3 linked regions of the Drosophila melanogaster genome follow. Changing the gene in region 3 together with the main gene of any one other region gives a genetic interaction. Each region holds a gene or a part of one and is shown on either strand. Other genes may lie near its edges.

What was found. Genes that interact genetically often act in the same process or in processes that back each other up.
Region 1: of Chro (region 3) and pros, changing one suppresses a phenotype caused by changing the other (phenotypic suppression), as found in Drosophila melanogaster (one study listed by BioGRID).
Region 2: of Chro (region 3) and JIL-1, changing one enhances a phenotype caused by changing the other (phenotypic enhancement), as found in Drosophila melanogaster (one study listed by BioGRID).

The regions. Positions count from the first base shown.
Region 1 is NT_033777.3:11,325,637-11,332,816, forward strand, and holds the start of pros (prospero), read left to right. Parts: upstream 1-2,843; 5' UTR 2,844-4,320; intron 4,321-7,180. UniProt on the Drosophila melanogaster protein: Homeodomain protein that controls neuronal identity. As a transcriptional factor, regulates the expression of ftz, eve and en in a subset of neuroblast progeny and modulates the transcriptional activity of other homeodomain proteins such as Dfd.
Region 2 is NT_037436.4:11,088,857-11,095,948, reverse strand, and holds the start of JIL-1 (JIL-1 kinase), read left to right. Parts: upstream 1-2,755; 5' UTR 2,756-3,677; intron 3,678-4,092; exon of another isoform or gene 4,093-4,176; 5' UTR 4,177-4,309; coding exon 4,310-5,051; intron 5,052-7,092. Other genes in the region: CG46439 (uncharacterized protein), read left to right, coding at 1-1,456; Iyd (iodotyrosine deiodinase), read left to right, coding at 1,598-1,754, 1,810-2,516. UniProt on the Drosophila melanogaster protein: Phosphorylates 'Ser-10' of histone H3. May regulate gene expression by establishing or maintaining the structure of more open chromatin regions. Also required for normal polytene chromosome structure, for oogenesis and for viability throughout development.
Region 3 is NT_037436.4:22,871,702-22,881,849, reverse strand, and holds Chro (chromator), read left to right. Parts: upstream 1-2,865; 5' UTR 2,866-3,216; intron 3,217-3,624; exon of another isoform or gene 3,625-3,831; 5' UTR 3,832-3,855; coding exon 3,856-3,913; intron 3,914-3,974; coding exon 3,975-4,400; intron 4,401-4,461; coding exon 4,462-5,393; intron 5,394-5,459; coding exon 5,460-6,726; intron 6,727-7,150; coding exon 7,151-7,248; 3' UTR 7,249-8,148; downstream 8,149-10,148. Other genes in the region: Ssl1 (suppressor of stem-loop mutation), read right to left, coding at 1,063-1,972, 2,025-2,366, 2,420-2,484; CG11109 (uncharacterized protein), read right to left, coding at 8,162-9,415, 9,504-9,569.

The DNA.
Region 1 (7,180 bases), on a different chromosome or scaffold from region 3:
CACCATCGCTTTGGGGAATATGCAAATCAGCCATCAGCAGCAACTGCAGCTGCAGCAACAAAAGGCTCAAACTAGAAATGCTTTATGTGGGCATTCTGGTTGGGGGATTGCATCTCCCTCGCAGCCCCCACACTCTGCAATGGAAGGCGAGCGCATAATTGATGCTTTTCGGGCCGCGACCAGCTTTGCACGTCCATTAATTTGCTATCGAATTGCTCTCAACTAATTGAACGGCAGCATAATGCGAATTTAATGAAGATCGCAGTTGGTTTAGAAGTGGAAAGGGGGGATGGGGGGTAAGCTGATGACTGATTAGAAACCAGATAGTAACAATTTGATACAACAATTGTTTATGTTGGCAGGCTTATGTAATCATTCAAAAATGGGATGTGAATATTGTATGTTTAAATAAACCAATGTTGATGCATTCGATATGCTCATATGAACCTCAAAAAAGTATATATGCTTAATTAAAACCCATGCTGAGCGAAATACTTTTTCAGATCATATATATATCTGGTTATATGGATATGTTCTTTGCTGCATTAAAAGCGTAATTTTAAGTAGCAAGCCAAGCGAGCAATGCCTTAAGGGAATGCATATAATTTGATGTAACTTGCATATGTAGATCAGTTATTTAAATCGGTTGAAATCGAAATGCCCTAGGAATTCCAGGTCTATTCGACTTTTAATATGATTTCTGCGCATAGTCATCAGCTGCCTGCTGCGGTCCGCGAGCTCATTAATTAATGATGACAGGATGGACAGGACTGATGGCTCGTTGGGCAGGGAGTTGGAAACCGCAGCTGGTGGCAGTGGGCCTACTGCACGCCACCACCTTTGTATTTGTGCATAACAACTTATGAATCCATAAGCTATCTGGCAATCTCTTTATGAGCAGCATTCCCAATTTCTCTCTGATATCCTGCGAAGGCCAACCAAACCATACCGAACCATAGCAAACCAAACCAAAACCATATCGAGCCCGAAGCAAAAGCAGAACGGGCACAGTGGCAAAGTCAATAGCCAATGCCATCGATAAAGCCATAAACTTCATGTACTGGGTGGAGATTGTGGGTGCTGCTGTTCCTATCCGGCCTAAACTGCGCCATCCCAGACCTGTGCCCGCGTTCTATCCATTTCCGGGAATACGCGGCGTATGAGTAACGAGCGCGATGCGTAGGATTAAATGCAGGCGCTGCCTAGTTCCGATCTGTGCCTCCTCGTCTATATATCACTGATATACATATATATAATATATATATACATATATATATGTACATATATATGGACACATATATCTCTGAGCACGTACATAGAGAATTGCAGTGGCTGTCGCTGCACTCGCCCACCAATTTTTCTCCGCTTTTTTGATGCGCTTTCCCAGAACCCCCATGTGCATGAGTTAGTAGGAATTTATGCTGGCTCTATTATTGTTGCTCTTGTTGTCGCGGATCCTTTTTGGCGGGGTATGAGTGCGGACGACGCTCTACATTTTTTTCAGCTGCAGTTTTCTTTGCTGGATATTTTAATGCCAACTCTGACGATATACCAATACCAGTGCCAATAACCAACACCCATAAATGGCGGCAAAATAAAATAGGAAAAAAATGTGTGTTGCATTCGCGCAGGGGCAACATAGAAAACTTTTACGTTTCGCTTAGGGTTTTGCTTTATTTTTTGCTTTCAGGTTTCCCTCTTCTTTTTTTGCGATTTTCATTTTGTTGCTTTGGCATTGCAAATGAAAACGAAAAAATTGCATTTTCCCCGCATATGGATGTGTGTGAGAAGCACGAAATCAAAACAAAACATGGCCACATGGCGGGTCCTGTCGGCTGGTGGGTGTGCGGATGGGATGTATGGATGCATGGACGGATGGGGCACATGAACAGTGCACAGCCAGGAGCAACAGCTCCCACAGCTGCCACACTACCTCCCTGCAGATGTATCTGTATCTGCGAAATGGTATGGTCCATCTGGCGGGAAAAGGGGCTGGGTTTTAGGTACACTTAGGCTCGATAGCTGCAGTTTTTCGCCACCCAGTCAGCGAAACAGACCACCACGCAGTTGCCCAGTCCAAAAACCACCTCATCAGTCGTTTGGGGGTTTGGGTGTTCCATACTTTTTGGCGTTGTTTGATTTTTAGGCGCAGCAAAATGCGTTTTGCTCTTGATTGAAAGTGTGAAGAGTGTGGGGCAGCATGCCAGCGTGTGTGTGTGCGATATGTGCATTGTCCGTGTCCTTCTCGCAGTGTGCATGTATTGGCGAGGACGCCGCTGCCGCTGTCGTCGCGCTTTGTTTTGATTTTTCGCGACTGAGCGCGCGTTGCTGTCTGTTTCTCTCTGTGTTTTTGGATTTGTCCAGCAATGCATATGTGCGCCCACTGTTCTAGTGGGTGTGTGTGTGTGTTTGTGGTTGTGTGCGAGGTTTGCATGTATATGTACACTAGCAGCTAGGAGCGGCGCTGACGTCGCAGTCGCAGCAATTTTTTGCGCCAAAGCCAAACCAAAAAGGACGAGGACAATTCGGTTGGCGCTGCAGCTGCGACGTAGCCGCGGAATTTTTTTGCGCGTTTCGCGCCCGGCCAGCGGCCACTTTCATCCGTATCCACGTATCCAAGTATCCACATCCGCATCATCCTACTCCATCAGCGTTAGCATCAGCGGCCGAGGGGCTGGCGTCCCTCATAATCAACGCGCTGCAGCGACGACGCCATCGACATCGACAGCGGCTCTGGCTTTGGCTTTGGCTCTGTGACTCTGGGGCCCGTCATCGTTAGCAATTTTTGCCAGGACATTGCAACAGAAAACTGCTAAACGCGAAACAAGTTGCGGCGCTTTTTTCTGCTCCTCGGGTTCTCGCTGTCTCCCTGTCCTGGCCTGTCCTGAATCGAACTGAGCCGTGCTGCCAGGATCAGGCAGCAGCAGGCAGCAGACAGCAGGCAAGGCACATCAGTAGGCAGTGCAAGGCAGGCAGGCAGGCAGTCGGCAGGCAGGTCGCCACTTCTCGCAGACTTCTTCGCATCTGCATAAATCAAACCCAGAGGCAGTAGCAGAAGCAGTTAGCCACCCCAAGAAAAAACTCTACAACAGAAAAATACCGAAAAACAAAAGAAAAACAAACAAACAAATAGAAATAGAAAAGAGAGACATCGAAGCAGAGAAACGATAGGAGAACGAAAAAAAGTGCCAAGTGAATGTGAAAGTGAAAGTGTGTGCAAAATGACTTGAAGTGCAAGACTAGACACCTATGTACGTACCACCTACACCACCCAGCCTGGAACACACTACGTATACGCAATGCGGCCCAGGCGCTCATACGCCCCGTTGGCCCGCCAGCCCTTCGAACTAAGACTCGGGCTGGGGCTCGAACAGCCATCGCTCGCCATGCCGTCTTGAGTGCAAAAAATTACCCGCCAAAAACCCAAAAACACACACGGCCGGCTTGCGCCAAAGACAATGTAAGCGCCGGCACTAGAATGTAGAGCAGTTTTTTCTTCATTTCCCAAAACTAACTAACAAAACCAGCCAGCCAACAACAAATAACAAAATAGACAAAGTTACATTTTTACCAATATCGATAATATTAATCACTTGATAATCAGCGCCAGTCAAACGCAACATTTCGTTCGTAAACAACAACTACAACTAGCCACAACAAAGCAAGTCAAAGCCAAGAAGCAACCAAATAAGCAGGCAATACCAGTCAGTCCGTAACGTCAGCAGCAGAAACCAACGAAAAACCAAAATAATAAAGTAAAACGATTGAGTAACTCCAGTTTCAGTACCGCACCGATTCCGATTTGAGCAAAAATTCAAGCGTCTGAATTTGATTTCGATATCGTCTGGCCCGTTCCGTCTTCAAGTCTCGGCCAAAGGTTCGTCATCGTCCCGACACACTCTCAGTTTCTACAAATTCAGACGTAGATCCTTAGTTAATTCACCTTTTGTATTGTGCATTTCGGCAAGCAAATATTTTGGAAAGGATCCCCAGAGAACAAAAAAAAAAAAAGGCGAAGAAGAGCAGAAGTCAACACTCGAAATCGAAAACTACGAAATTACCTGAAAATTTTTAAACAACCAAAAAGTCTATGAATGCAACAAAAATTACACGCTAAATTTTACAAGTGCAAAATTTTCTTATAATAATTTATCAAAAAAATAAAAATAAATTTACAAAAAAAAAAAAAATTAAAAAAGAAGCATAAAAAAACGGAACTTAGTGAGAAAATTAATCAAAGTTTAGAGAGAACATTAAATGCAAACGGAATATCAAAAATTGTTGTGATGTGATATTTTTTCGATGTACTTTTATTTGAGGGTAAGTAAAGATCACTATCAAAAATTCATTTTTCAACCATTACTCCATTCTTTTCATCAATCATTGACTCATTGGGGTTTATTTATCTTTTCAGAATTATAGAATTTAGATAGAGAAATAAGGGAAATAAATACATTCGAAGCGTATATTTTAAGATCTAGGTAATTTAAAGATGTTCTGATTAAGAAAAGTATCTATTATGGGATGCTTGATCATAAGAAAATGATTAACAGTGAGCATTTAACTACTGATCATTTTTGGAAGAGAACGAGAAGAGAACGACATTTAAGACAAATAGTAAATGGATAATATGAGTGTGAAACATTGAGCAGTATTGATTTTCATTAGAAAAATTAGGAAAAGGTTCATTCTTTAATTATAATGTTATCATCTAAGTTAAAATCAATTCAAAGATATACTCTTTTTAAGGCACAAAATCTATTTCACCAACGAAAGAAAGCAGGGCAGTCAAATTTTAGTAACTTAGCTAAACAGCATGTTTATTTCAAAGCGCCAAAATAATAACCATATTAATTGCTACAAGTAAATATTTAAGAGGAAATGTCTCCTTTGGAGTTCCTTAGTTCAGTGGGTCTGAAGATCGCAGAAGTCTTTCTCCGCGATTGAGCTCGGCACTTCCTCCCAAAGTTCTTCGTGTCCTGTCGTCGGGTGACGGCGTTCAGCTGCAGCAGCAACATGCAACAGCATCGTGTTGCTGGTGTGCACGCGGCTCTCCCCAGCAGCAGCAGGTTTAGTTGTAGTTGTAGACTTTTTGCTTTTCTACATCCTCACACACATACAGGCACACAAACGCACACAGCAACAAACACGAGTGCAAGACGCGAAGTTTTGGAGGCATGCACATAATGTAAACAAGGACATGCGCAATGCACCGCGCTGGCTTTCCCCGCTTCCACAACAGGAGAAGTGCATTGCAGGCAATGCAATTGCCAACTAGAAGATAGCAGCAGCCAAAGGGGCAGTGGGTGGCTGGGCAGGATTTTGGTCGCTTTTGGGGGGGGGGGGGGTGTGGTATTGGCGATGGGGTGTTGCTGGGTGGCTGCTTCATTTACCAACGGCTGCACTAGTAAATAGCAGATGGCAGCGAAGTCGGCGTCGGCATCGCTGTCGACGCCAACTTGCCACAGTTTAGATGGGAAAAAAGGAAAACTCCAAAGAGCCAGAGAGAAAGACAGAGTGAGGGAGAGAGAGCGAGCGAGAGTGGGTGAGAAAGAGAGAGCGAGGGCTGCGCAACGAGAGTGGCGAGTGCAGCCGAAAGGATGCAATGCTGCAAGGCAATTGCACTCCAGGACTCTCACACACACACTTACGCACACAAACGCATCCGCAAGCAGCTAGACTGAGGCGGTTGCTTCTTTTTTGGTTGTGTTGTCTCTTTTCGGCTTATTTTTAGAAGTCCTTTGCCCCCTCGCCGGCGCACATCCCACCCCAGCCCCCTTGGCTGCATTTTATTTACTTGACCAGGCCTCGGAAATTTACATGGCCAGCCGTGGGAGGGGGTTGCAGTATCCACAGCAGTAGCAGCAGCTGTTCCTGGAGCCCCAGCACGTGCAGCAAGCAACTGCCCTTCAGCCGCCCAGCCGCCCAGCCACCCAGCCACCCAGCTGCCTGCGTGATTTGTGCGTTGCCAGGATGCTGATGCTGATGATGATGGCGATGGCGATGATGAGGCATCTCGTAATGATCTGGGGCCGGGAAAAAAGGGAGCAGGAGGCGGTGGTGCAGCTGCATTTCCTTGCCAGCAACGCCGTGCGTGGTTGGTCGGCTCGAAAAAGGGTCGGCGGCACTGATGGGGGTTGGGCTGTGATGGGCTGGCTGGATGGATCGAAGTGTGGGCGCGTAGACATTGCGTAGAGTTGGAGCCAATTTTTTTCTATTTCTTGATGGGCAACCTGGTCCGACCGCCTACATCACCCATTCCACCGCCCCCTTTTTGGACCGCGCTTCATTCGCACATCGAGTGGTCAAAGTACATAGATACCCCATGCCCATGTGTCATGTGTGTGTGTGTGTGCTTTTTGCGCGCGCGAACTTTGGCCAAAGGAAAAAAACTTAAACAGAGATGCTTTTACATACGGAGGGGGGGTTTTTTCGGATGGCTCGCTGCATTTTGCGCGTCTGTAGCTTTTTTTGGCGGCCGTCGATGATGGGGTGCGAAGGGTTGGGGCGCGTGGTGTGTTCCCCGGCCTGGTGGAGGCCATGTACGCGTCGTCGTTTGCTAAAGTCCGTGTCCGTGTCGCGATGACGGAACGCCGAACGAACTGAACGCAACGCAACGCAACGCATCGCATCGCATCTATCGGCATCGGAAGGCATCGGCCGGGCACCGCAGTTGGCATACGGCTTTTGGACGTCTTTTGAGTAGAACATTGCTTTTTTATATTCTCGGCTCGACGCACCGCACCGAGCAAAAGAAGTAACGCCAACGCCGCGTAACGATAGCTGCCGCTCCAGCGAGGAGCCGCAGAGTTGGTCCAAGTCGTCGACGGTTCGGTTCAGTTTCGGACTTGCTTATTTTCTAAAAAATCCAGCAACCAGCAACTAGCACACACACACGCCGTCGAGTGGAGTGGCGTGGAGTGAGGCCGCATTATTATATATAAAATATATATATTGCATATATATATACGGTATAGAATATAGATATATATATATAAATGGGTGCAAAGTGCGCGCGCGTTTGCCGCCCCCAAGTCAACCGCCCATGCCTCTCAATCCGCTGAGGGGCTGAGGTTCAGTTGCAGTTCGAGTGCCGTCAAATACTATTTATATACAATAAATGAAATAAAATATATACAAATATATATAAATATATATATATATATGTCTAAAAATATAT
Region 2 (7,092 bases), about 12 Mb from region 3:
TCAGTCAGCAGGAGGCATTAAGCCCGCTTTGGCATCACTAGATCCACCTAAAACACCCAATAGCATCGAGAAAACAAAGAAATCCGGGGGATTTCTCTCTTTTTTGTTTGGCAAACGAGACAGGCGGGCGAGGAATCAGAGTGAGACAAATGGAAACCATATCTCATTGGAGGATCATGATGTCAGGAAGCTTATACGTCTCTATAGCAAGCATAATAGCCTTTACAACCGCCATAATCGCTACTATGGTAACAAAGATATCGACGATGACTGCTACAACAGAATGGTGCGCTCATTTCCGGGAAGAAGCGTCTCGGAACTGAGATCCTGTCTGGAGGAGCTAAGGACGCTCTTTGAGCGGGAATACACCATTATCGAACGTGCTCGAAGGAAGTGTGGAGAGATAATGAGTCCTTCAATTCGCTACTATAATGAATTTCTTTTCCTGGTGCCACATCTTAATATACACTTCGACAAGGATCTTCCTGCCAGTGGAACTAGCCCACTCGCCGCCGGAAAACTTTTGCAAAATCCGATAGCCAACCCAGAGATGTTGTGCCAAAAGTTGACCAATTTCACGGATTTTCCTCTGGCCGGTTTTCCCGGCAATCTACTAACCAAGAGGCCCAAAAAAGACCCCCAAGACCGGCCAAACAAGAAGATCAAACCAATTCCTGATCAAGAAAATGCGAAGCAAGAAAATCCCATAGAGCAGGAAATTCAGGAGGCAGAAAAAGTCGCTGATCATGAAGTTTCGGTAGAAGAGAAAATCAGCGGGTTGGAGGATCAGGAACAGAAAGACGCACTCTCTCCATCGGAGCAGAAGAACATACAAAACAGTAAGGATAAAACCAGTCATCATCATTCCAATTGCAAGATGTCCAGCCATGAGAAGGATTTAGTATCCACCAATTTGACCTGTCCCTGCAAGCCGGAAGTGGAATCCTCACAAAGCCCAGTTTCCTGCCCCTGGATAGCCGAAAATTCAAAGTGTGAACCCCCGTGTCGGGAAACACCACCACAATCTACGCGAAATTCCGTATCCAGTCCGCAAAATTCAGATATTTCTGAATCCAGCAAAGAACCGGCTCACTTGATGGAGAAGGAACCATCCGGTCAGGAATCCGCGAATAGCCAGCAAGTGCAGATGCTTTGCGATATGATACGTACCGAGCTAACCACTGCTCCCGATTTTATATTCTTCGATGCCAAGTGGCGGATCATCGAGATTCTGAGAGAGGTGCACAAGCGCCAATTGGTTCACCAGAAGGCCATTCCACTCAACAATACACGCCGACCGATTCCGCCGCAAAAACGAAAACCGGGTGAGCCCAATCAGATGCTTAAGAATCCAAAATGCATGTCGGATAGGAGTGCCCACGAAAAGGGACAACAGAGGATGTGCGAGCATCACAAGGGCAGCCATTGCACCTACTGCTGCCGGAACAACAACTGAAGTGGAAACCAAAACCCATCCACCAGCATCCATCGCTATCAGCAATAGCCGTGACCCACTTAACCAAGTGATAAGCCAATCCGAGCGCAAAAGCAAAGCCACTTTCTCTCCGTCGCAAAAGCAGTTACATCTTGAAGCACCATGGATGTGGACGAACTGATCAGCAGCTCCAAGCTACTCAAGCATTGGCCAAGTTTATTTATCACTCTGGCGCTGATATGGATCGTAAAAAGATTGTTTTTTAAAGGGAATCGCGTATTAAAAACATATAATTTAGATGAACAAGTCGAGGAGGAGGGTAAGTTTTAAGATTATCCACGGTGAACATAAAGCTATTCTATTCTATTTTCCAGTTGAACACTTTGCCGATCTTGGCGATGAACTGCAACCGGCTCTGGAGGATAAGCCCCATGTGCCCTTCGTTCCCGGCCAGAATCTCAACCCTAATGGAGCCAAACGCTTATATGAACTCATGCGTGGACGCCGTAGCATTCGCTCCTTTAATAGCCATCCCAAACCGGATCTCAGCGTGATAGAGGACTGCATTCGGGCGGCGGGAACAGCTCCCAGTGGCGCACACACAGAACCCTGGACGTACTGCGTCGTACAGGAGCCGGAACTCAAGCGATCCATTCGGGAAATTGTGGAACAGGAGGAGCTGGTCAACTACAGCCAGAGGATGCATCCGCAGTGGGTCACCGATCTGCGACCCCTGCAAACCAATCATGTCAAGGAGTATCTCACCGAGGCGCCGTACCTTATACTGATCTTCAAGCAGACCTATGGATTGTCGGAGAATGGAAAGCGAATGAGGAGGCATTACTACAACGAGATATCCACTTCGATTGCGGCCGGTATCCTTTTGTGTGCCCTTCAAGCGGCAGGACTCGCATCGCTGGTCACCACTCCTTTGAACTGCGGTCCAGCCTTGAGAAACCTGCTCGGGCGACCCGTCAATGAAAAATTACTCATCCTACTGCCCGTTGGTTATCCGAAAGATGGATGCACAGTTCCCGACTTGGCGAGAAAGAATTTGTCAAATATTATGGTTACTTTTTAAGGTTTATTTACGTCCGTGCAGCTTACGAAATAGTTCAATAAAACCAAACTAAAATTTATGGTAATTCTTATATTTTTTCTATTGATAAACGAAATTTTCACATTTTCCTTAAATTTATTCTTCATTATAATTGTTAATCAAAATATAATATTCTTAAATATTTGAAACGATAGTCTCCACCATCCCTGCCAACCGATATACGGCTGCTTTCCAGCACCACGCTTTTTGGCCTCTTGTCAACACTATCGATAACGATAGCTACGGTAAGTGACACAAAAGCAAAGGGAAAATTTCTACGTGCGGTTCGTGTGCTGTGTGTTGAAATTACAAATAGCCAATTATCCGGCATTAATCGTTTTAGGGCTCTCTCGATTTTAATTGTATTATATTGTACTATAATACAGATATAAACCCGATTTGATCGAGTGTAACGGAAATCGACGCGATTCCCATCAAGGTGGTCCGTACCTAATAAGTGTTCACGAATGAGAGCAAAGCAGATGGCGGAGAGCGTCCTGCGTTTCAATGTGTGTGTGCGTAAACGAGTAGAAAGCGGCGGTAAAAACCTTCTCGTGTAACACAAAACAAATTATACAAAACATTCAATCTCAATATCAAAACGTTACTGTATTGTCTATTGAAAAACAAGTACAAGCGTACGCAGGGAAATTGGAAAATCCATTGAAAATCGAGAGCAACAGTCGCCGGAGCGGAATCAGCGGACGAAAACAAAAACGCTTTAAAAACGCAGCCGATACAGAAAGTGCCAGCGTGTGAGTGTGCATATGTGTACGTAGTTGTGGGCAAAGAGAACGGTAAAGAATAAGAAATCGAAAAAAAAAAATAAAAAACTAACTGTGGAAGTGAAAAATGCGCGACTGATAAAGATTGTGATAATCACGGCATAATATAACAAGCAAAAAAGAAGAATGAAAAGAAACCGCAACCGAATTGGTTGAATAATATTTAAGCCAACGCCAGTGCTGCATAAATCGGTGCACATTATCATTGGAACGTTCAGTGTTGCACATCGCTACCGCCCCACGCATAATCCAACACTCTTCCCCCTCCCCATCCAGATCCACCCACTCACACACACACACACTCCGATTCGGATTTCTTCGTCTGCATTATAATATTGCGCTTATAATCTTTCGCGAGGTGAGTCGAACTCCCAAATAGTGTTCTATTCAGAAATGAGTTTCCCCATCCAATTGTCCGCTAACAGCGGGAAAATTACTCCCGCCTGCGTTGAAACTGTACCATATTGTGGATGAAGAAATGGGATAGAAATGGGCAATGGGCATTGGGAAGGTACGGTGAAGATTGCCTAAATAGAACACAATAAGAAACAGCTATGTTCAAAACATCTTGCGGAATAAATTTCAACAATTCAGTTATTATTTATTTAGTATTTAAAATGTGTGAACTGGAACATTTATATCGTACATGTTGTCTATGCATTGTTGAACATCCATGAATAGAAAAAACTAATTCAGTTTCTAATTAAAAATACTACAACAATAAAACAGTCTAGCTAGCCAAAATGACAACTTTATGTCAGTACTCATATAAGAATGTGTCAAAAAGTTTAATGATTGTCTACAAATTGTTAGCGATTTTCGAAAAAATGTCTTTACTTTGATTTCTGTTTTTCCAGCTCAACGATGCGCCACGATCAGTCCCTGGACCTTTTTATTTTTATTTGTTAATTCCTGGAATATCCATCGATTACGTGAGGAGCACGTAGAGCATTATTAAAGGCATAGGATCTTTTACGGAAGAATCTAGCCATGAGTCGCTTGCAAAAGCAAAACTACGAGATCTTAAGCGGTACAAGTACGTCGCGCCTCAAGAATCATCAACATCCCCGTGAATCGGAGTCACTAGCCTACGAGGAGCCAGATCAAATGGTGCGGAATCATCTAAATGGCCAGCTGGTAGCCAATGGCAATGGCAAAACGCGAAAGAATAGCAATTCCGAAACGATGACCAATGGGAAAAAGTCCAAACTGAATACGGAGGGATCCGGCTCTGGTTCTGGAAAGACCTTGAACTACAATAATAATAACAATAACAACAACAGCATCAGTGCCACCAACGGTCAGTACACCAATAGCAGCAGCAAGACCACTTCAGCATCTGCAAGGGATTACACTTACCGCGAGACCATATCACCGCCCACACCTCCATCCCCGCCCACCACAAATGTGGCGGATATTGTTTGCATATCGGATGCGGAGAGCGAGGACGGACGCGATCCCGAGCGGGAGTACTACGACCAGGACATGGAGGAGGATGAGCCGAACGGGATAGAGATCGATGAATCCAGCTCCAGCTTGTCCAAGGCCAAGTCCAACAATGCAGCTGCAGCGGCGGCGGCGGCGGCTGCAGCAGCGGCAGCAGCAGCCTCGAAGGCCTCCTCGTCGACCACGCCCTCCTACGCCATGCCCACCAGCAATAGTACACCCCTTGATCTGGACAATGAGGCCCATCAACGGGACCTGGAGGCGGTCACCGATCTGAAATACTACGGTGAGTCATTCCACTCAATGATAGTGATAAAGAAGACCGGGCCAACTGCAAGCACAAGCTAGATAAGAAAATTTGTTACAAGTTGCAGGTCAGGATGTACTTATGTTAAATATGATAGTTTAATAATTCCGTCCATATCAAATTAAACCGCAACTTCTTCCCTGTGAATATTTCATGCCATTTTAAGGCAGCTGCCACAGAGCTTATCAAACATGGTAGTGTGGTGGAATAATTGATAACTTTAACCGGGTGGATGTCTCAAGGTTTTATTGAAATGTCGGCAGAGGGTGGCTGGTCAATGCCAGATGAAGTGCCGTCTCTATCGTTCTTTGTTAAAGTGGAGCACATGCATTTAACCTTGACACGATTACCCAGAAAACTCAACCCGGCTTTGTTCGCTCTTTGGGCCAAATCCAAAACTACTGACCTCCCCTGAAATCGCCCAACCTCGCCGTACTCACCTCTCACCACACTCTACATACATATACACAAAGCAGACAGAATATCCACCACCCAAATGTCTAATTTGATAACCGTGGGTCGAAAACCTATTGTTGCTGCTTGTTATTTGTTAAATTTGACACTTTTCGGTTGCATTTTTAAATAAATATTATTTACTGAGGACATTGGTCTGGATTTTGGTGTGGAAAGTAACACCTTTTTGAAGTAAACGTTTTTGTCAAGAGGTTTTCACAACAGCTGTTTATAAATCGAATAAAATAAATCTAGATAAAAACTAAACCTTCTCTAGTTTCGATTAAAATTCAATTCATCAAAGTTTCTATCTATCTCGATAATTAAGATGTAGTATTATTTCTTAAATAGTTCTTATATCTGGCTTATATCTTTCATAATATCATATGGAACCACTGTGCCACTTTTCGTCATCGCCGTGCAGTCGTGACCATGTCAGTTGTTTGTACAAATGTGCGTGCAACGCTGTTTGCGAGCGTTTGCTGTACTCACAAACATGCTTGTTTGCATAAACGGTTGGTTGTTGTTTCTAGGCAATTTATTTACTTGAACTTGGCAATGCAACTTGCCAAGCATAGATACATATGTATGTATGTAGGTATGTACATAAAGATAGGGCAACGAGTTAGCCTCCTGGATAATTGCCTTCAAATTGATAGGTGAGCTGTGTTTGTTGTTTGCTGTTAATTATCACAAGAACATCGTCACGGCAACGGGTGCTGCTAGAATGGTGGGGGAGGGGAGGGGTGAGTTGTATCATTAACCCCACCCTTTTGTAAATTAACAATAATAATTACACAATGCACAGAGAAAAATACAGATTGGTTCTCAAGTAAAGTTAGCAAAATCTTTTAAAATATTATGTCCAATTGTTGTCTTATAACGAATTAATTAAAACTGCATTCAAATGTATTGTTACATTTCATTTTTATCTGTGTAGTTTTCACCCCTTTCACTTTTTAATCAGTAAAATCGATATCCTCGTACAGTACAGTACCGCTAGCACATTATAAACATTACTTTTAAGTGGGGTAAACATTTCTTATGCGACAATTTACACTTGACAATGAGAAGTAAAAATAGAAAATCGAAATTGTTGCTATCAGAACGTTCTCAACTTGTTGCGGTTTTCATATTATTATTCATATTCTTTCGGTCTGCGTTCATTAAACTTTGCCTAGTCATTTTTTTTTTGGTCTGTTATTCAGTTTAAGAACCTGGCCAGAGTATATAATGCATATCAAGGCCAATTTATTTGCTCGACGTCGTCGTCACACGCTTTCAAACAGGTCGTCTTAAAAATACAAAAGAAAATTCGCACTTGCTTTAAATAATGACTAAAATATTCAATTTCCATTTGATATCCGAAAAAATACAAAAAGTAGCAATATACAAGGGTTTTTCCGCGACAGGTCGCCACCACTTTGCAACATCTTTCCAGTTTTTCTTGTTGAATCAATAATTCCGGCGAAAAGTTGCCACCCACTCGAAAAAGTCCTGGGTTCGATGCACCCTTAAAGAATTTCGGCACGCGTCATTCCGTGCGTTTGGCTGCTTGTTTTTCGCA
Region 3 (10,148 bases):
ATTCAAGAGATATATGGAGTTATATAAAATTACTACGAGTACGTCTTGTTCCGCTGGGAATTATAAAGTTACAATGTATAACAGTATATAAAGTATTTACATTCTTGATTACCGATCTAGCCATACATAGCCGTACATATCTTAAAGCCCGCACGGCTCGCTTTGTTGATTTTTTATCCTATTGCATTTTGCCGCAAGTTACATACCATTTGAACCTATTATTTACAAGCTACATTTAGACCAATTTATATATACAAATTAAAAGCTTTTATTTATGTTTTATTATCTATTATTGATGCCATTTGCTCGCATCTTTTAGAAACCGCATAAAGAATTTGTATTGTAACTCTAAAATCAAAAAGCATAAGTCTAATAGTTATCTTTTTAAAAAAATTTAGAAACTTTAAAAACAACCAATTATTAATAACAATAACACAATATATGTACATACATTTTTGATTTTTATGGTAGACCTTCGGAATGCTTATGAATCTTCAATTAAATGTTGAACTTTATAAGGTAATAGACAGTTGTGGCGGTTTAGCTGGCCTCTAACTGGTTTAATACTAGTTTAAAGCAGCGTCATTGATCTTCATAAATTGTTTATGGTGTCACAGAGCAGTATATCCACGTCACATCGGTCTCCCACTGAACAAAAGTTCTGGCTCTTCAAAATTCACAACACCAACGCGGGTTAACATCTATAAAGCTAAAGTTCCAACGAGAACACCTGTGGGTGCCGAGAGCTTTTGGATTGAATCGCAACTAAACCCGACCGAATGCGGCAAACGCTGATGATGAACTCAAGCGAGCTCTAGACAAAAGTGCGCCAAGTTCGCATGAAGCGGCACAGAGAGCCTATGACCAAGTAATTAGCAATACAATTGAGAGGGTCTCACACAACGGCCATAATAATGCTACGCTCGCCTTCACAATTATTAAGCATAAAACCAGATTTTAATTGATACAACTCATAACCACCGTTTCGAAACGAACTGTATTTTGTTTGCCCCAAATGCGTAGTTATGTGGAAGTTCGAAATATCTATCTATAGAAAGTCAGTTACATCCCACACTGGCCGCGCTGCTTTGAGGGCCCTGGGTGTGCATCAACCTGGTCAGACTTGGAACTTTGCTGGTAAACCAGACCGTCTACGCCGGGAATGGTGTTGCATCCCACGCAGGCGTGCAATGTGTCGTGAATGAAGATGTCGCAGTCAACGCAGAAGAACTGCTTGCAGAAACCGCATCTGAAGACGACTTTATCGGCGACCTTGTCAACGCCTTGCCCAAGAGCTTTGGCGCAGCCGTAACATTCCCTGACATCGCTGGTGAGGTCGGATGACGAAGCAGGCATCGCCTCAAACGGCAGTTCCTCAAAATTTGGCACCGGGAAAAGGTGGTGGTAGGAACGCGCCAAGTGCGGCGCGGAGACCAGGGTGAGGCCGCAAGACTGGCACTCCACGGGCAGCTCGCAGTACTTGCTGTTGCATTGCGGGCAGTGGTGGCCAGTAGTGGTCAGTTCACTGGGCTCCTCCAAGTTCTCTATGTGGCACATGCACATGGACAATGGCGCGTCCTTGCCCTCAACTTCATTCTTTGTGTGCGGGAAGCCCATGCGAATAAGCGAGTTGTGCTGAGTCTTAGCGGCGGGCGGTGGATCTACCTGAGACATGAGTTGATCCCGAAAATGTGCATCATCCAAAACAGCCCCGAAGGTGCCCATTGTTTGCTGAGTGAGGTAGCGGGCCACGTGAATCTCAGCGGACAGGGAAATAACCGAGCAGCGTATGCCCTCCTTTTTTAACTCGTCGATGGTGAGGTTAATATCGACAGGATCACATGTGGTGAGCGAGCCCATGATAATGACGATCTCTCGGGAGGCGTGCGACGGCACCACCTTAAGCGATTTTAGGGCCAGATCTAGGCCATTTTGCAGCGAAGGCTCGCTGGTCAAGGACACGTTAGCCAAGCTAAACAAAAAGGGGATATAAATGGAGAACGCTGGTTTGATTCGGTTCTTACCTCTCTAGCGCTTTGAGGTGCACGCGCGAAGTGCCGGTAAGTTCGGTCACCTTCTCCGCTCGCTTAGCTTTTAGCGCTATGAGTCCTAATTGGCTGATGGGGTTCTGATCGAAGAACTCCTCGATAAACAGCTCCAGCAGCTTGACGGTGCACCGCAGTCGTGTGGGTTTCAAATCAGGCACGCTCATGGACTCAGAGCAATCGAGCACAACGAACATGTGGCGCATCATGCCCAGGCGGTTCTGCTTGGACTTTTGAGCCTGCCTCTGGCGTTTGGCCTTCTGAATGATCTCTGCAATGGCTCCATCCAGCATCCCATCCTCGTCGTCCTTGATGGCCTCCCTAATAGGATTAAAAGTAAGTGCGGGCTTACATTGTCACGCACACCATCGCACCATGTCTTTTCATAGCCCGTTTCCCAGCGGTACTCCTTCTGGTCCTCTTGCTCATCGTCGGCCATACTTGCAGTCCTGATGCACTACCAAGTCAAATCAAGAAAGAAAAGCAATTAACGCTAAATAAAATGCGCCGGCTAATGTAACAGTGTGTACACACAGGGCCTACGTTAAATACAATACACTGGGTGGCAACCCTGGGTAAGTATTTATATCAATAAATATCTACAAAAGAATGACATAATAAAATGAAATAATAAAAAATAATTTCGAATTTCTTACCTAATATGAACAAAAAAAGTACAATATTATTATTATTGCGCCCAAAGTTGCCACATCAATAAATATACCCACCACGACGCGTAATTGGCTAACTAAGTGCACCGCCACACGGGCGAACTGAAAAGGGCGCTACACCCTAAGTTTGGGCACTTAAAACCGTGCAAGCATTGAAACCCGCGTTTTATATCATATACTATATTCGAAAAAACCTTCGAAATCTTAAAATTTACTGGACTGCAGTTAGTTTAAAGCTATCGACAGGCAATACACTCCCAGTAATATTAGGATTTAAATAGCTTAGCACAGAAGAGCATTCTAAGGTCCGCACAGCCGGAACCAAATCATCTCTGGACAATTTCCGTGCAGCCGAATTTCGCTTTTGGCATTCAGAGTTCGCGCGTACAACTGTGAGCAGCAGTGGAGCTGCTCGTGTTGAAAAATCGGGAGTCAGTTAAATTAAAATAACCGTTTGAAACAACATTCAGTTTGATATTTATCCAAAATTGTTTATGAAGGTGTGTACCAAAGTGTTCTAGAGAAATCTTTTAATTTAATGATATGTGGAATAGGCTTATTTGCAATCATACCTGGCCTATATCTAGTGCCTGCAAGGTTTAGCGGGCAAAATGAAATTGTGAACTTTGATATTATTTAAACTATATGTAATCCTTTTTTTTAAATGAAAACAAATAGGATCGAACCATAGGGTTTTATTTATTTTAATTTTTAGCTGTGTTGAAGTTCAAATGCATTTGTAACAGATAAGTTTAAGTAACTAATAAAGTCGCATTACGCATAGTTCGTGCTTTTCTGTGTTTTATTATATTATATATCTACAACAGTGCGGCAGGCTCGTTCTTTTCATAATGTACTTAGTGTTTTTTTTCGGCTGCCTAAGCGCCGCTGCATTTTGCCCATTGCAGATGTACATATGCTTGAACTCACCATATCGGACACACACCGCAGACAGCGACCGTTCGCGTTGCCACCTGGTTCAAGTTAGCACAAACACACCACGGCACTGTACTTTTTCTTCGCCGTTTACCAATATTTCAAAACCAAGCAATAACAAATAATAAGACTCCATTCAGCACTATTTTTAAGTCACACTTTAAATGCTCTCTTCAAAGGCTTGGGCGCTGGAGTCGTGAATAATGTTGGCACAGGAGATTTCACCTACGGAAATCGGCAAACACGCAAACATTATAAGAGGTGAGTGACTAAAAACATTGGTAAATAATTTTTATTGTTAATTTTGTGTTCTGCCCTGCAGCTGCACAGGAGGAATTGGCAAACATGGACGTTCTTGTATGTGGACGATGTCTCCGGGCCTACAACTTCGTGGAAGAGTTTCAGGCCCACAAAGAGGACGCCTGCGAAAAGGAAAATGCAAATTTGAAGGAATCGCTCGATCCCAAGCCCACCATCTGGGCTTTTACGCTATGGAAAGCTACTCAGCTGCACTCGCGCAAGGACGCGTCCGGCAGCTCGTGGGCCTTGTACCAGCATTGGGTAAAACTAGACGATAGCGTCCGCGAGCCGTGGATTGTGGCTGGGAAGACCATACAGTCATTCGGCAAAATTGCACACGGACAACTCCAGGACATGCCTGTGCGAATAACAAAGACTGTGGTCAATCCAAACAATAACAACACATCAAATAGCAACAACAACAACACGAGCGTCTCCCCTACCAGAAGTAATACAAAACATTCTAAATAAAAGTCACACTTGTTATTAAACTATATTTAAATCAACAGAATCACCAACCGGTAAGCTGCCTACGTTAGCCAATCAACTAAAGGATACAGAAAACGAAAGACCCAAGTCCAAGCCGAGTACACCAACGCCTTCCTCAGTTCCCTCTGCCGGAGCCGTGAAGCCGAACAACCGCATAGCCATTAGGATCGATTCCAAGACAGATCAGCGCACCGAAGAGCCAGTGGAAAAGATTGTCGCTAAGCGCTTCAATCCGCGCCGTAAGACCCACGAGTATTTGGTTAAGTGGGTTGATCGCTCGCATCATGAAAACACCTGGGAGGTGATGGCCAATCTCGAGCGTGTGCCATACTTTTTGCAGATGTTCGAAAAGCAATTGGCACGCCAAAAACTTACTAGGGAGAAGGGTCTGGATGCTCTGAAGCGCATGCAGTCATCAGGGACAAACGCAAAGTCAGATACTGCCGCCCCACACAGCCCACTTCCGGCGTCGTCGCAGGTATCGCCGTCTTCTCGGCCATCTCGAACTTCCAAGACCAAGGCTATGGATGCCTTTAAGCAGTGGGTCAATGAAACCGTTGCCGGAGATGGATCCTCCTCGCCTTCCTCGGCAAACGAAGATGAATCCTCCACGGAACAGGAATGGCCACCATCTTCTGGAGCGATCAAGCGAAAGCTGAACAATACAGACTCAAGTTTAGAGGGGAGCGGGTTAAACGACTCGATGGACCTAGAGGACCTTGAAGAGGATCTTCCGTCCCATACCGTGAAGCGTCTAAAAAACGGAGGAAGCTCCGTGCAGTTGAACAAGCCACGGATTCAGTCCACGGAAAAGCAGCAGACTAAAATTAACGGCAATTCCACCGTGGTATCGCCCCTAACGGAACAAAAAATGGGTGAAATCATCTATACTGAGGATAGCACGAGCTCCGGCATGTTTCGCAAGCCCGAGATGCCAAACACAATAAATTTGGTATTACGAAATAATGCTATTTCTACGCAGCAGCCAATTAATAACAATGATCTTAATTCGTTGCAGAAAAAGGAGAAACCAGAGTGTCCCGTGCGGTATCTTTCGCGCTCCGAGGTGGGCAGCAGCACAAGAGGCGTTTTTCGGGTTGAAAATTCCGAGGCACCGGCACCCGTTTCGCCTGCACCCGTTCCGCAAAAAGTGATCGCTGCGCCGCCCGCCGCAGGCATAGCCAAGCGTTTGCCAATGGCTCGTCCTGCGCATTCGGGCGCTAACTCGCCCATCACTGTGGGCCAGCGACAACACGCGCTTCGAACTCCCGGCCACGGCCCTGTAACAGCAGCACTTCATCGCCGTCCTGGAGTGGGTGGTGCATCCCATGTGCGTCAAAACTTGCAGCAGGCGCCCGGCCGGGCTCACCCGGGTGGTCGAGTCCTTGCACGAGCCGGTGTCGGAACTCCGCAACATCGCCAACAAGTACAAACTCCTCAGGGTGCCAAGGCAGTTACGCCAGAGCAAAAGATTTTACAGCTGTCAAAGTCAGGGGACTTGAAAGTTACGCGTAAAGTAGTGACCCGGGAAGAGTTGTTGGCTCAGCGCTCTGCCCAGGCACGCCAGCGACAGGCTCTGTCTCAGCAGCAGTCCAGTCAACAACAGAAAGCGACTCCTGCCCGGCAAAGAATAGTTTCCAAGTCAACAATCCAGCCAACGCCCCTGCAAATGGAATTGGAGGAGGAGATTCATCAGCACCAAGCTCAGTTGTGTCCAATCACCGGCAAGCTTATTGGTCAGGAGGAGACCCAACTGCAAATGGAGCAGGAGCAACAGCAGGAGCAACAACGAGAGCAGCTAGAAGCCGCGGCACAGGCCCTTCTGGGCAGCGATCAACAAGTTCTTACCAACGAGGACGGCTCGGCCTTGCTGGTGCGAGGAGAGGACGGCACTGTTTACCAGGTAGCGGGAAAAAATGCGGAGGGACAAACTATTCTCGTTACGCAGGGCCCGGATGGAGAACAGCAATTTGCGTACGTGGCAGCCGCAGAGGGAGAAGACCAGGATGTTCTTTCTCTGGACCACGCAGTGGCCGAAGCCGTTCAAGCCGGTGAACAGGTCGAGTCTCACGGCGTCGGAGCAGCTACGGCGGACGGTGAACAGATTCTCGTGTCCATGACAGAAGAGGAGTTGGCGCAACACCAGGTGCTTCAACAAGCGGAGGCTTCTGCCGCTGGAACGGGAACGCCACCCACAGCTCAGATCCATATCACGACGTCAGACAGCGATGGCACGGAATCCCAGATACCAGCGGAGGTGGTACAGGCAGATTTGCCTTCACCGGGTAAGTCGTGTTTTTCATAAAAATTTGACAAGGCCAGCTTCTTGTGTTGGCTTTTATATCCGTTACTCGTAGAGTAATAATAAAAGTTCATAACAGGTAGAAGGAAGCTTTTTGAAGATATAAAGTATATATTTTCTATTTATAATCAGGATCAATAAGCGAGCAGATCTAGCGTTGTCTGTCTGTATGAACGTAGAGAACTGAATGATTAAGCAGGGATATATATTCGCAGCGCAAGTGCGTTTGTTTCTCGAGGGGTAGATACTATCAGATGATAGTCGATAGCATTTTCTTGCTTTTCTTCTTGCAGAACTATACATTGGGTAGCTTTTTTATAAATCGGAATTGCATAGAAAATTATAGCAATATTTAGGGGATTATTCTTCAAAAACTAACTACTTGTTCATTTTCTGTTTTTTTTCAGGAGGTACACGTCGCGTTGTTTTGTTGCTTCAGGATGGAACCTTCATGATGACTGAGATGCACGAAGATCAGTTTAAGACGCTCAACATCCCAACGTAAAATCATGTTAATAGTATCCGTACATATAATTAGGCTTAGTTCTTAAGACTATTATATTGAAAGAACCTGACGTTGGTGGGTTCTTCCCATTTCCACTTTTGTTTGGTCCTAGCCAATCCATTCTCTTGGCCATAAGTATGCACCAGCACTGACTGAGAGCCGTGTTTGGCGAGTAGTGAATATTATTCTGGCGAAAGCATACCGGGAACCAGAACGCTAAACGTCTAGCGAAACAATAATGCTGCGCCGGGGAAACAAAAGGCATCGAACGATGAAATAAATTATGCGAATACCTTATTTAAAACATTATTTTATCGTGGGAGTCAAGCAGTTTTACGATAATTATCACTGCAGTCAAGGTGAGAGATTCCGCCAGCGTTAAAAGCCTTCATCGATGTTCTCATCATATTTAGTAATTTCCTCAAGCACAAACAAAACATGCATTTATCGGGGTCCCATCAATGATTGGTAATATTTTTGACTTCCTTTTAACTTACAACTCGTAAAATCATTAAGTAAATCTTTGTCGTAGAAAGTTTTAAAGTTCCCGAAATGCATAATTTTGCTTTTAACAAGAATCGTTAAATAACAATGACGGACTTAGATTTAAGTAAAATTACATTAGTTATGAATTGTAAATTATTTAAGTTCTTTTTAACTCGAAAACAAAAAGATAACATTATGTATCTCCATTAAGATAGCACAAGCAGCTATGGGAGAGCAAAGCCTAAATGTTATCAGACTGCATTTTTCAAATGCTTTTCTAAGCGTAGGGTTGAAATTTTCTTGATCAAATACCACTAGCGTAGGTCTCACTTATATCACTCATAAGCCGGCTTACTTTTGCAAATCAAAACGAATGTTTAAATTATCGAGCCCAATAAACAAAAAATTTCAGTGAAGTTGAATTTATTTATATTTTCTGAAACTTCGCAATAAAAAAGCCCACAGTGTCCGCATTTGCTCCGCTTGGACCGAAGCGCTGCAACAGACGAGATTTACATGCCTCGAAACCGGGAAGCGGAAGTCCGGGACCGCCCCACCGGGGAGTGGCATCTGTTAGCCGCAGCTCGACAAATTTTCTTAGTGCCCAGGCCACAAGACATTCGCACTCATCCTCGGTGACGGTGCACGTGCTATATACAAGGATGCCGCCAGGACGAACGAGCTGCACTGCCTGTTCAAATAGCCGGCGCTGAATATGGGGATATGAGGACAAGACCTTAACCTGTTTAATGCTGCAGGACAACTGTGGCCGGTTGCCCAGCCCACTGCAGGGTGCATCGAGCAAGATTCGGTCAAAGCTTTCACATGGAAACGGAGGCCCAGTGAATTCTCCCACGGGTGCAGATGGAGCGTCCGCTGCCACTGCCTCGGTGGAGTTAAAAACATGCGCCGTTATGCTTTTGTAGTGTCCCAATTTGGGCAGCATGCTGCGGACGCGACTGGCCGAATTGTCTAGGGCCACCACAGATCCCCGATCGCCCATCAACTCGGCTATGTGGCTTGTTTTGTTACCCGGAGCGGCACACATGTCCAGTATGCGCTCGCCGGGCTGCGGATCCAGGACACGGACGCAAACAATAGAAGGCAGGTTTTGCAACAGGCCGTCTTCGCTGCTTAGATCCCCCAGCGTGGGCACTCCGCTGACGTTGGACTGCATTTCCACGGCCACTCCAGAGGCGGGCTTCTCCGCGTTGTTGAACAGCTGATACCGCTGCATTAACACCTTGCCTGTACCCAGGAAAACCTTATTTGGGCTTTCGTACCGCTTGACCGTCCCGCGCTTGCATTTTCCATCCAGATCTGCGTAGACATTGACGAGTTCCTCCCGCTCAGTGTTTGACTCCATAGCTAAAACACCGGGGGCGTATATGTGGGCGCCTCGCAGTAGTGCAGCTCCGCAGTTAGTGTCAACCACTACCTCCTTGAGCTCGGAGTCGGCCACAGCTTTGGTGAGCTGTGAGTCCAGCGGATCAATGCACAACATCTCGGGTAGGTTTGGCAAGCAGTAAATCCTTGGAGATTTTACACCGTAGCGAATGGCGAGTTTTTCTTCTAACTTTTTCCGAAAGTCGTCAACGGAACACCTAAGAGTGTTCACCCTGTAAGTGGTGACTTTGGGAGTAAGGCACAGCCATTCCAACAGCGGAGCAAGTGCAGCAGACTTGACAAAACCAGGAATTAACAGTTAATAAAATTTGCAAGCCAGTTTTTGTTGTAAATACGTATTTGTGCACATTGAAAGTACATACATTCACTTTAAGGATATCGGCTTCCAGCAACGGGTTCACCAAAAATGGTGTTTTTGGGTAAAACATATTAACATTTAACTTAGTTCAAATCACCTGGATAGTGAACTTTATCGAGTGAGCATTGTGCGACAATGATGAATCGATTAATCCAAATCGTTGGCAACTCTAGCCGAGGTGGCGGAGAAGAGACGTGGCAGCATTTCCCGAGTTTTCACCACGGGACTACACAACATCGGCATCCCGCTCTAGCTCATGCGCTGCGCCCATCTCTATCGGCAACGTTTATGTTGGTGAGTTTGCAGTTTTTTCAACAGCAAGTGTATTCTCGGTCAAGTTTTATTTTGCTCTGTGATTTTAGACATTTCCAAGCAGAAGTTTTTAAAATTTCCGCTCCTAGCCGTGTGCATTTGATTCAATTAGTTGGTGCGTATGCGTTTTCAGTCGAAAAAGGGGGTGGTATGTCAAGGCAGAGATACTTTTCTTGATTTTAAGAAGTTCCGCAGTAATGTAGATGTTCGTGTGAGTGTTTAGTGTGGGCTATCCACGAACACTCGCGCAACGTACGCGGCTGTGGTGAATAGTGGAAGTATTAGTATTGGAAGCCGCACGAATTAATCGTCGGTGCTTTGTTTATAGCATTATCGT